3 linked regions of the Macaca fascicularis genome follow. The protein of the gene in region 2 purifies or fractionates together with the protein of the main gene of each other region. This does not show direct contact. Links are inferred from orthologs where the notes say so. Each region holds a gene or a part of one and is shown on either strand. Other genes may lie near its edges.

Evidence for each region.
Region 1: the proteins of KPNA1 (region 2) and PHAX purify together in Homo sapiens (co-immunoprecipitation; 4 studies listed by BioGRID and IntAct, with this or other methods). This does not show direct contact. The link is inferred for Macaca fascicularis from reciprocal best matches to the Homo sapiens genes KPNA1 and PHAX.
Region 3: the proteins of KPNA1 (region 2) and ANP32E purify together in Homo sapiens (affinity purification with mass spectrometry; 4 studies listed by BioGRID and IntAct, with this or other methods). This does not show direct contact. The link is inferred for Macaca fascicularis from reciprocal best matches to the Homo sapiens genes KPNA1 and ANP32E.

What each region holds. Positions count from the first base shown.
Region 1 is NC_088380.1:133,172,001-133,175,747, reverse strand, and holds the start of PHAX (phosphorylated adapter RNA export protein), read right to left. Parts: upstream 2,427-3,747; 5' UTR 2,414-2,426; coding exon 2,318-2,413; intron 1-2,317. UniProt on the Homo sapiens protein: A phosphoprotein adapter involved in the XPO1-mediated U snRNA export from the nucleus.
Region 2 is NC_088376.1:160,795,254-160,798,900, forward strand, and holds part of KPNA1 (importin subunit alpha-5), read left to right. Parts: intron 1-291; coding exon 292-423; intron 424-1,956; coding exon 1,957-2,045; intron 2,046-2,367; coding exon 2,368-2,467; intron 2,468-3,647. UniProt on the Homo sapiens protein: Functions in nuclear protein import as an adapter protein for nuclear receptor KPNB1. Binds specifically and directly to substrates containing either a simple or bipartite NLS motif.
Region 3 is NC_088375.1:111,027,657-111,031,403, forward strand, and holds the start of ANP32E (acidic leucine-rich nuclear phosphoprotein 32 family member E), read left to right. Parts: upstream 1-1,452; 5' UTR 1,453-1,788; coding exon 1,789-1,842; intron 1,843-3,747. UniProt on the Homo sapiens protein: Histone chaperone that specifically mediates the genome-wide removal of histone H2A.Z/H2AZ1 from the nucleosome: removes H2A.Z/H2AZ1 from its normal sites of deposition, especially from enhancer and insulator regions.

The sequences.
Region 1 (3,747 bases), on a different chromosome or scaffold from region 2:
CAAAACACATAAACTCCACCTACCTAATTTTTAAAAATTTAGAGATTCAACTGCGCCATTCCAAAAGGAACTGATCTTCAAAGACAAGTCTGAGACCAATCAAATCCTTACTTTTCTAAGTTCCACATGGAATTCGCCAATTTAAAAGCCACAAATTCTTATCTTTACAACTAATGCAGCACTTTGTTCTAAGATATCCTTTTACTATATTACCAAAGTTCTTGTCACCTTTAAAAGATTTCAAACTTTTCAGTTATTGTCAGAATGTTTTAAAATGACATACATAATAATTGTTACTTTTTTTTTTTTGAGACAAAGTTTTGTTCTGTGGCCCAGGCTGGAGTGCAGTGGAGCAATCATGGCTCACCGCAGCCTCAACCTCCCAGGTTCAAGCAATCCTCCTACCTCAGCCTCCTGAGGGACCCTCACCATAACCAGCTAATTTTTTTTTTTTTGCATTTTTTGTAGAGATGGGGTTCTGCCATATTGCCTAGGCTGGGCATGATTTTTTTTTTTTTTTTTTTAGAGGGAGTCTCGCACTGTCACCCAGGCTGGAGTGCAGTGGTGCGATCTTGGCTCACTGCAAGCTTTGTCTCCCGGGTTCAGGCCATTCTCCTGCCTCAGCCTCCCAAGTAGCTGGGACTACAGGCGCCTGCCACCACGCCCGGCTAATTTTTTTGTATTTTTAGTAGAGACGGGGTTTCACTGTGTTAGCCAGGATGGTCTCAATCTCCTGACCTCGTGATCCACCTGCCTCGGCCTCCCAAAGTGCTGGGATTACGGGCGTGAGCCACCGCACCCGGCCTGGGCATATTTTTAAAACCCCACAGTCCACAGCATTAAGTTTATTTACCAAGTCATGGGTCAATTTATGTAAAAACAACCTGAGATTGAAAAACAAAATATCTTGGTACTAATTTCCTAAACATTTATATGCAAAAGCAAGTATTTGTATTTGTTAAAACTCCTACTACGCTGGAAACGCAAGTAGGGAGGATCTATCTCCCACTATCTTCAAATAATGATCAGAGATAACACTTTTCAGGCATTACCGCGCACTGTATGCTCCATAGAATCCTTGCAATAACCCTATCAGTGGAACATCATGCCAATTCCATAGATGGAGACAAAAAGCAGTTAGGCTAAATAAACCTGCTGTAGGTCACACATCGGTGGCCCCAGGATCTGAACACAGGCAATCTGGCACCAAAGCCCCCTCAAAGAGGTTGCTACCTACTAAGGCAGTCAAGACAAATTACCGTTTAGAAAGCAGGGAAGCTGGGCCCGGCGCGGTGGCTCGCGCCTCTAATCACAGCACTTCGGGAGGCCGAGGCAGGTGGATCACTTGAGGTCAGGAGTTCAAGACCAGCCTGGCCAACATGGAGAATCCCCGTCTCTAATAAAAATACAAAAAGCTAGGCTGGGCGCGGTGGCTCACGCCTGTAATTCCAGCACTTCAGGAGCCCAAGGCGGGTGGATCACTTCAGGCGGGAGTTCGAGACCAGCCTGGCCAACATGGTGAAACTCCGTGTCTACCAAAAATATAAAAATTAGCCGGGCGTGGCCGCAGGCCCCTGTAATCCCAGCTACTCGGGAGGCTGAGGCAGGAGAATCGCTTGCACCCGGGAGGCGGAGGTTGCAGTGAGCCAAGACTGCGCCACTACACTCCAGCCTGGGTGACAGAGTGAGACTCTGTCTTAAAACAACAAACAAAACCAGAGAAGCTACCACAAAAACCTAGTGCCATGGTACCGCATGACAAAGCTAGGTTCGGTGGAAACAAGGAAAACCAGCTCTTTAAGTGAACTCTGATAAACTTCATTCCTGGGCCTCAGTCTCTGTCTCAGGGAGAAAAGGAGCACCACAGGCTGTTTCAGGCCAATGTCCCCAGATGCTACACATCTGGCAAAATCTGCCCCTTAATGGTCACCTAGCGGCGCTGGAGTGGGGAAGCCCTAAGTTTAGAAAAAAACAAAGAGCGGTAGGTGGAGGTGAGACCGCCAAGAGACAGCCGCCAAGCCAGCCTCCAGGAGGCGCCAGGGCTCGCGCGCCCGGCCTCGCAGGGAGCCGCCAGGTTGGGGCTCGCACGCCCAGCCGCTGCCGCCGCCTCCGCCCCTCGCTGCCGGCCCCTGCAGCCCGGGCTCCGTGAGCCCGCCCGGGGGACGCCTGCTCGCCCTTTCTGCCGCCACTGACCGAGCAGCCCGGTCCGGACCGGGCTCCTAGCTCTCACCCCTCACCCTCACCGCTGCCTGCGCGCTTTCCGCGGCCCAGGCTCGGCGCGCCCAGCCACGATAACGCACCCTCCTTTCACACTCACCGGCAATTGCAGCGTCCTGTCGCTGGGTGCGACCGTCATGTCGGAATCCGAGTCGGAAAGCTGCCCATCTTCCATGTCGCCAACCTCCAACGCCATCTTCCTGCCCTGCGATGAGCTGCGCGGCGGAGGGTCAGGAGAGCACTTCCGGCGGTGCGGCCGGAAGGCCCGGCGGCGCGCCTGTTTGGGCGCCCCCGCACGGAGGCCAGCATGTTGCAGCGGCTTGAGGCGTAGCCATTGCGTTTCAACTACCGCGGGAAAATGAATCCCTTGTTCCCCCAACACTTTTCTTTCGAACTTTATTTTCGTGCAAACAAAAATATGTCACGAATCGCGGTCGTCTGGGATTCCCCCCTTGGCCGTACATCCTTCGCCTGTATGCTCTGGACAAGCCTCCTTGCTTCCATTCTTGCTCCTCCGCTACCCACTCTACATATTGCTTCCAGGGAAGCCTTTCAAGCGGTATAGTCCGCCCTCTGTATCCACTCCCTATCCACAGATGCCAAACCTGCGGATGGGAAGGACGCACTGTGCACCACCACATAATATAAGGGGGCTCGAGCATGGCCTATGTTGGTATCTGTGGGGGTCCTGAAAACAATGACCGGCAGATACCGAGGGACGATTGTACCTTAGCTGGAATCTTCCAAGTGCACCCCTCCTCAAAACAAGGACTGAGTTCTCAGCATGGTGTTTGAAATGTTTGTTTTTCGGTGTCATAAAGAAATAGCACTTGAACATAAATTTAATTTATTGAGTAAGGCCATTTTTACTTTCTGCAGAAAGGGTACGCCCACCAGCAGTTTTGCCAGGAGAGTACACTGAACAAAGGAGACAGGGTCATTTGTAAGCTGAGGCGTTTACCTTACTGCTGTGGCTGGTTTTTATTGGCTGGAACAGGACCTCACATTTTGTATTCCTCGGGATTGGCTAGCAACTTGGAACTTTTTAAAAGAGGCAAAGGTAGAGGAGAACAAAGGAAGGAAGAAGTACCTTGTGGAATGTGGAGAAAGACAAAAACACTTTTAAATAAGGAAGAGGAACAGGCTATGACCTAATGCTTGCTTGGACTAGTATAAGCATGCCAGGGCAAATATTTAGGCTAAATTGTGGGAGATAAGAACATAAAGTACATTTATTTTATTATAGCTAGCAGATATTTAAGAATGTTAGCACAGGTCTTTGAATAAATTTTGCTTTTAAGAGAGGTTACTATTTATTCCTAATTAGATGGGGAGGAAAGTCTTTGAAGAGGAACCTCTATTTTACTTTTTACAATGGCAAACAAGGTTATGTGGACTGGGCACCAGGTCACTGGTCCTGGTGTGTCCCCCTGCCCAGCCGCGGGCGCGCTGAACCTGTTGTTCCTCAGGCAAGCCCTCTGCATTTGCTGTTCACTCGGCCTGGAAGGCCCTTCCCTCAACCCACCCCAT
Region 2 (3,647 bases):
ATGTATATCTTGGGAGATCATCCCATATCAGCATATGTAACACTCCCTCATTCTTTTTATGGCGTCATGTTTACTCTTTCTTGAACTGAAATTTTAGACACCCTGAATATTCTTCTAGGTTGAGGTGTCTCTTCTGGATGTTCTTTTAAAATTAATAAAGTACTCAACTGATAGGCTACGTGCAAATAATGATCTCAGAATCTTTTTTTCATGTACAGAAAATGTTACTGTTATAAGTAAATAAGCTTTTACATTCTAAAATGATAATGAAAATTATTTTTATCTTTATAGTTTGAATCAGCTTGGGTACTGACAAATATTGCTTCAGGAAATTCTCTTCAGACCCGGATTGTGATTCAGGCAGGAGCTGTGCCTATCTTCATAGAGTTGCTCAGCTCAGAGTTTGAAGATGTCCAGGAACAGGTAAAAATGAAACAAAAGGAAGCAGCTGAAAGAAATTTTTCGGCTGGGCACGTCGCTCATGCCTGTAATCCCAACATTTTGGGAGGCCGAGGTGGGTGGATCACAAGGAGTTCGAGACCAGCCTAGTCAACATGGTGAAATCCTGTCTCTACTAAAAATACAAAAATTAGCTGGGCGTGGTGGTGTGTGTCTGTAATCCCAGCTACTTGGGAGGCTGAGGCAGGAGAATTACTTGAACCCAAGAGGCGGAGGTTGCAGTGAGCCGAGATCGCGTCATTGCACTGCAGTTTGGGCAACGAGAGCAAGACTCCGTCTCAAAAAAAAAAAAAAAAAAAAAAAAAAGAAACAGTATTTCCCTTCAGTCATAATAAGGGGCTGAGTTTTGCCAGTTGGCTTTGGTAATCTATGGATTGTCACAAAGGAGTGTTCTAGAAATTTAGTCTTAATCAAATAGAAAATGTCTTAGTGACTGTAGGCGGAATTTCTCTTAGACACAAAATAATCTTCCCCTTCCAAACCTGACATTCTTTAAGCCATGTATATGTACTTTTTTAGACCATGTAAGCAGTTACTGATAGAGGTTTTTTCTTGTAGAAATTTCAAGTGTTGAAAGTAGACCAGTTGCTGTGGCTCATGCCTGTAATTCCAGCACTTGGGAGGCTGAGGTGGGCAGATTGCTTGAGCCCAGGAGCTCGAGACCAGCCAGGGCACCATGGTGAAACCCCATCTCTACAGAAAATAAAGTAGGTGGCCATGGTGGCACACGCCTGTTGTCCTAGCTGTTTGATAGGCTGAGGTGGGAGGGTTCACTTGAGCTCCAGGAGGTGGAGGCTGCAGTGAGCCGAGATCACACCACCATACTCCAGCCTCGGTAACAGAGCGAGACCTATCTCAAAAAAAAGAAAGTGGCTAGTCTTTGCTACTTTTGTGCAGAAGGGTACAGAAAACAAACTTCTTTTTGTTCACTGTTTTCTTATGTAAGCAAGAAAATTCTCTTTTTCTTGCTTTCTTGCTTTACTTTGCTTTTCTTTCTTTCTCTCTTTCTCTCTCTCTCTTTCTTTCTTTCTGTCTGTCTTTCTGTCTGTCTGTCTTTCTGTCTTACAATCTCTGTCACCCAGGCTGGAGTGCATTGGCTCAATCTTGGCTCACTGCAACTCTGTCTCTCAGGTTCAAGCAATTCTCATGCCTCAGCCTCTCGAGTAGCTGGGATTACAGGCGCCTACCACCACACCTGACTAATTTTGTATTTTTAGTAGAGATGGGGTTTCACTGTGTTGCACTCCAGACGGGGTGACAGAGTGAGACTCTGCCTCAAAAAACAAAAACAAACAAAAAAGAATTAGTTCTTTCCTTTAATAAACTGAAAACCTCTGTTTATTGTATACTCTTGGATACTACTTATCTTCCCCCCCCAATCCTACAACTATTTCATTTGACTCGCCAATGAACGTGTTATTGTGGTATACTGGCATCTGAAAGAATTATGAGGGAATTAAACTATGTAGCCTTTATTAATGAATGATTCTTTCACAGGCAGTCTGGGCTCTTGGCAACATTGCTGGAGATAGTACCATGTGCAGGGACTATGTCTTAGACTGCAATATCCTTCCCCCTCTTTTGCAGTAAGTTTCTTCTTCCTTCTTCCTTTTTGAGAATAAAAATGTAAGAGATTCCTCAGAAAGCATTACATCTTTGGAAATCATTTTGGATTTTCTAGTGTTATTTTTTATTCCAGATATTTTCTTGTATAGATCATTTCCTCCAGCACCCTATCTTTTTCCGTGCCAAAATTCTGAATTACTTGCATCAGAATTAATGAAGTTTTAATGTTTTGGAGAAAAGCTGTCTGAAGACATCTCTTTATCAAAAGTATTATTTAGTATTTATGTCATCAGATAATCACTGTCTGTTATATAGTTTACCATTGTACCATCGTGCTTGTAGGTTATTTTCAAAGCAAAACCGCCTGACCATGACCCGGAATGCAGTATGGGCTTTGTCTAATCTCTGTAGAGGGAAAAGTCCACCTCCAGAATTTGCAAAGGTAAGGACTATGCTTTTGGGACATTGGCAGAAAAATACAATTAAAAGAATATAGCAACCAATAGTAAGGTGAACAGAAAGATAATTTTTGTTAAAATTTAAAATGTTAGAATTTTATCTGTTTTCAGACAAACAGTGTTGTTTTTGTTGGTTTTCTTTATTATTTAAAAAGCAAATTTAAAGCATAACTTGAAGGTGCACATTTACGAAGGGACTGCAAATAAAGCATAGCATGAAGGAAGAATTTGTAAAGCTTATTGAAATTAGGCTGCATACAATTAGTATACTGTATTAAGAGACTATCCTTTCAGTTCTCTTAAAACAATGGTTCTCAAAATGTGATCTGTGAGTTCTCTGGGAGTCCATGAGATTCTTTTTTTTTTTTCAACAGGTTTTTGGGGAACAGGTGGTGTTTAGGTACATGAGTTACTTGTTGAGTGGTGATTTCTGATATTTTGGTGCACCCATCACCCAGGCAGTATATACTGTATCCAGTGTGTAGTCTTTCATTTCTCACCCACCTCCAGTCCTTTCTCCCTGAGTCCCCAAAGTCCATTGTATCATTCTTACGCTTTTGTGTCCTCATAGCTTAGCTCCCACTTAATGAATGAGAACATCTGATGTTTGGTTTTCCAGTCCTGAGTTACTTTACTTAGAATAATGGTCTCCAGTTCCATCCAGGTTGCTGCAAATGCCATTGTTTCGTTCCTTTTTATGGCTGAGTAGTAGTCTATGGTATATATATCACATTTTCTTTATCTACTTGTTGATTGATGGGCATTTGGGCTGGTTCTGTGCATTTGCAATTGTGAATTGTGCTGCTCTAAACCTGTGTGTACAAGTATCTTTTTCGTATAATGGGTAGATACCCAGGAATAGGATTGGGCATCAAATGGTAGATATACTTTTAGTTCTTTAAGGAATCTCCACACTGTTTTCCATAGTGGTTTTACTGGTTTACACTTCCAGCAACAGTGTAAAAGTGTTCCCTTTTCACCACATTCATGCCAACGTCTATTTTTCTTGTTTGTTTGTTTTTTGGTTTTTTGAGACAGTTTTGCTCTTATTGCCCAGGCTTATAGTGCACTCGTATGGTCTTGGCACACTGCAACCTCCACCTCCTGGGTTCAAGTGATTCTCCTGCCTCAGCTTCCCGAATAGCTGGGATTACAGGCGCACCA
Region 3 (3,747 bases), on a different chromosome or scaffold from region 2:
TTTTTGTTTTTTTTTTTGAGACAGAGTTTGGGTTTTGTTGCTCAGGCTGGAACGCAATAGCACGATTTCGGTTCACTGCAAACTCCGCCTCCCAGGTTAAAGCAATTTTCCTATCTCAGCCTCTGGAGTAGCTGGGATTACAGGCGCCCGCCACCACACCCGGCTAGTATTTTGTACTTTTTGTAGAGACGAGGTTTCACCATATTAGTCAGGCTGGTCTCGAACTCCTGACCTCAGGTGATCCCACCGCCTTGGCCTTCCAAAGTGCTGGGATTACAGGTGTGAGCCACCACATCCGGCTAAAAGATAATTATTATCCTACTCTTTCATATCCCATCCCACATAGACAAACTGGTTTTGTTTTGTTTTTTTCCTTCTTCTGTCTTGAACACTAAATTTTAATCCCCTGAGGGAGTGCACTGTTCCTGGAGGTACTGTAATACCAGGTGGATGCGTTAAGTGAACAAGAAAGCTCCTATTGCGTCTTCCTGCTCCCCAAATCCATTTAATATATTGGACTCGGATAGAAAATATATCAGATATTAAACTGTTAAGAACAGATCCTACACTTGATCTTAGCCAAAAGGCAGAGAAGAAGCGATAAACACTTTTAAAAGCACACTTTACCTACAGATTTCCATGGAAACCAACCAAAGGGAAATTAGAGAGGCATTGCTGTGCCATTTCTATGCTAATTAATGTCTGATTTTCATTAGGCCAGCGTTGTTTTTCCTCCAAGGTCTTAGTGTTTATTACAGCAAAAATTAACTCAGTAACAATTCCTCCAGGATAGTTTTATTTAAATATTATTAACTTACATACTTCACCCAACAGCTTTCAAAATTGTTGTCTTTTATAGTGTTAAACTACCATCTTTAAAATCTTGGCTCTGGCTCTGCATCACGGAAGGTCAGCCTCTGTGAAAAGCCTGACCCCAGCAGGACAATGCCACCAAGGCATCTTTTTAATGTGATGCGCACGTTGCTGTACACCTTGGCTGCAAAGCAGAGGCTGTGTTTTTAAAACGGCCAAGAGCCAGTGCATGCCGTGTGGTGAATTATCAGTATCGCAAGTTGGGCACGGAAGGATGCTTTCTCCCTCTTTAACACTAACAACAGAATAAAAAACCAAAAACTAAAAACCAAATCCAACAGACAACAAAACCGTCCGAGTGCCCAGGGAAAGCGCGCCAACTACATAAAGAAAAGTAGGGGGGGAACTGGGATTCAAAATCATTACTCCCGAACGTACACCCTCCTGGACCTATCAGAATTAACTGCGCCCTTGATCGTAGCCAATAGATACGGAGTTTCTGGTCCAGGTCCTCCCTGAAGACTGATAGACATTTACCTAGCCCAATGGAATAATGTGACGCTAAAGAATCAACCAATACGTTTGGGAGGTGGGTGGAGTGTAGGCCAGGGGGTTGGCGGTGCCGTGTCATGGAGGCTCAGTCTCTGAGCAGCCATTGAAGGGGAAGGAACTGCGGGTGTGTGTGTGTGTGCGTGTGTATGTGTGTGTGTATGTGTGTGCGCGCGTGCGTGCGTGTGAGTGCGCGCGCTAGTGTGTGGACAAGGAGGTGGGGGCAGCTGAGTTAGAGTCCCAACTCTTGGACTCCATTTGCTATTCTCTTCTTTCTCCCCCACACCTATCTGGTGGTAGTGGGCGTTTATATTTGCGTTCCTTTTCATTCATTTCTAAATCTCTTAAAAATTTTGGGTTGGGGGTATTGGGAAAGGCAGGAAAGGGAAAAGAAGGAGAGTAGTAGCTGAAGAGCAAGAGGAGGACATGGAGATGAAGAAGAAGATTAACCTGGAGTTAAGGAACAGAGCCCCGGAGGAGGTGAGATGACTCAGCCCCCACCCCTTCCCCATCAGTCCTGTATTCTGAGGATCGGATTTCTGGTGGTCCTGGGTGGGTGTGCGGGGATGGAGTAATAAGTTAGCCCCCGCCCCCCCGGTTTAGGGTTGGGGAAATGTTTAATTTTAAGTTTTAAATCATTAAAATCTTCTACTTAAAATGGCGAAGGGTTGAAGTTTCTAGGGGCGTTTTTGTGTGTGCATGGGGGCTTAGCTCCTTTCGGCTTTCATCGAGTCGGGCGTCCTGGCCTCGTGGGGGCGGGAAGCGGGCTGGTGGGGGCGCTCTGCCGCTTCGCTCCCGGCGCTCCTCCTCCTGAGGGCCAGCGGCGTGGGACGCGACCCCCCAGTCCCACTCGGCCCCTGCCGCAGCCATCGGCGCCTGAGAAGTTAGTCCAACTTTTCTGCAGTGCGGCCAACTCATCTTTTTGGGGGGTGGGCTCCCCCGGCCTCGAGGCCCTGGGCGTCCGACGTCGCGACGGGCGCGGACTGGGGTCGCTTTCAGGGTCCGCGCACTGTCTGCTCCGGCGGCGCCCACTCCTCCGGGAAGCCGCGCGCGCTGCCCTCCGCCCTCCGCCCTCCGCCCTCCGCCCGGCGGAATCTGGGTCAGCCGCGGGTTCTCTGACCGCGGGCGAGTTTGGGGACTCGTCGCAGTGACCGGAGGTGGGGAGGGGACGGGAGGCGTAATCCGCTTCTTCCCCCGCCGTGTAAAGATATGTGGCACGTCGTGTGGCCGCAACTCTTGAATTTGATCCCTGGAGACGGTTTCACAGAACTCAACATTAAGGGACGTAGTAGTTTCGTGCTTTAAAGATGGGTTCGCCGAAACTAAATGATGCGCTCTCACTGCTGTTGCCTTAGTTAAAGAGACGGGGTTGGGAGGGGCCACATGAGGCGGGGTCGCGGTCAACTTTTCGGGGGTCGGGCAGGAGGCGTTTCCGCCTCCTTTTCGCGGTTGCCTCCTCGGCCTCACCTACCCAGGGCGAAGGCGCGAGGGCAACGCGGGTTGGGAGGCGACCCCTTTTTTCCTTGGGGAGTCCCCGCCCGGTGTGGGGTTTCCCGTCAGTCGGAGCGGCAGGTCGCGAGAGCAGGGCTGGTGGCCAGCGGGGAGCCTCGCAGAGGAAAGCATCTGTCTTGCTGAAAGAAGCCCTAGAATTGGAATGTAAGGGAGTTGTCTGTAGCTGGATCGACCGATCGATAGAAGGATATAACGGGTGGTGTCTGTGCAGACCCGCATAGAGGATGAGCAGGGTCTGTCTAGGCTTTCGCGTACGGCGTGTGGAGTGGCAACTAAGACTTTTTTTTTTTTTTTTAATACATTTTTTTTTTTTTGAGACGGAGTCTCGCTCTGTCACCCAGGCTGGAGTGCAGTGGCCGGATCTCAGCTCACTGCAAGCTCCGCCTCCCGGGTTCACGCCATTCTCCTGCCTCAGCCTCCCGAGTAGCTGGGACTATAGGCGCCCGCCACCTCGCCCGGCTATTTTTTTTTTTGTATTTTTTAGTAGAGACGGGGTTTCACCGTGTTAGCCAGGATGGTCTCGATCTCCTGACCTTGTGATCCGCCCGTCTCAGCCTCCCAAAGTGCTGGGATTACAGGCGTGAGCCACCGCGCCCGGCCTTTTTTTTTTTTTTTAAGGTGCCTGTTTTCTGAAATTGGCAGGGGCCAGGGAGGGGAAACAGTTGCTTGCTATCAGGGTCATCCCGGAGAGATCTTGAAGTTTCTAGAACTTATTCTTAGGGGCTTCAGGGAAAAAACAAAATCAAACTTGAAAAGCTGTCTCTCACAAGCACACGTTTAGAATACTTTTTGGTGGCTTGGGTTGGAAAATTGAATCCCGCCCCCGCCTCCCCCGCCAGGATTCTTTGACTTAGTGATTGTAGTAATTTCTTT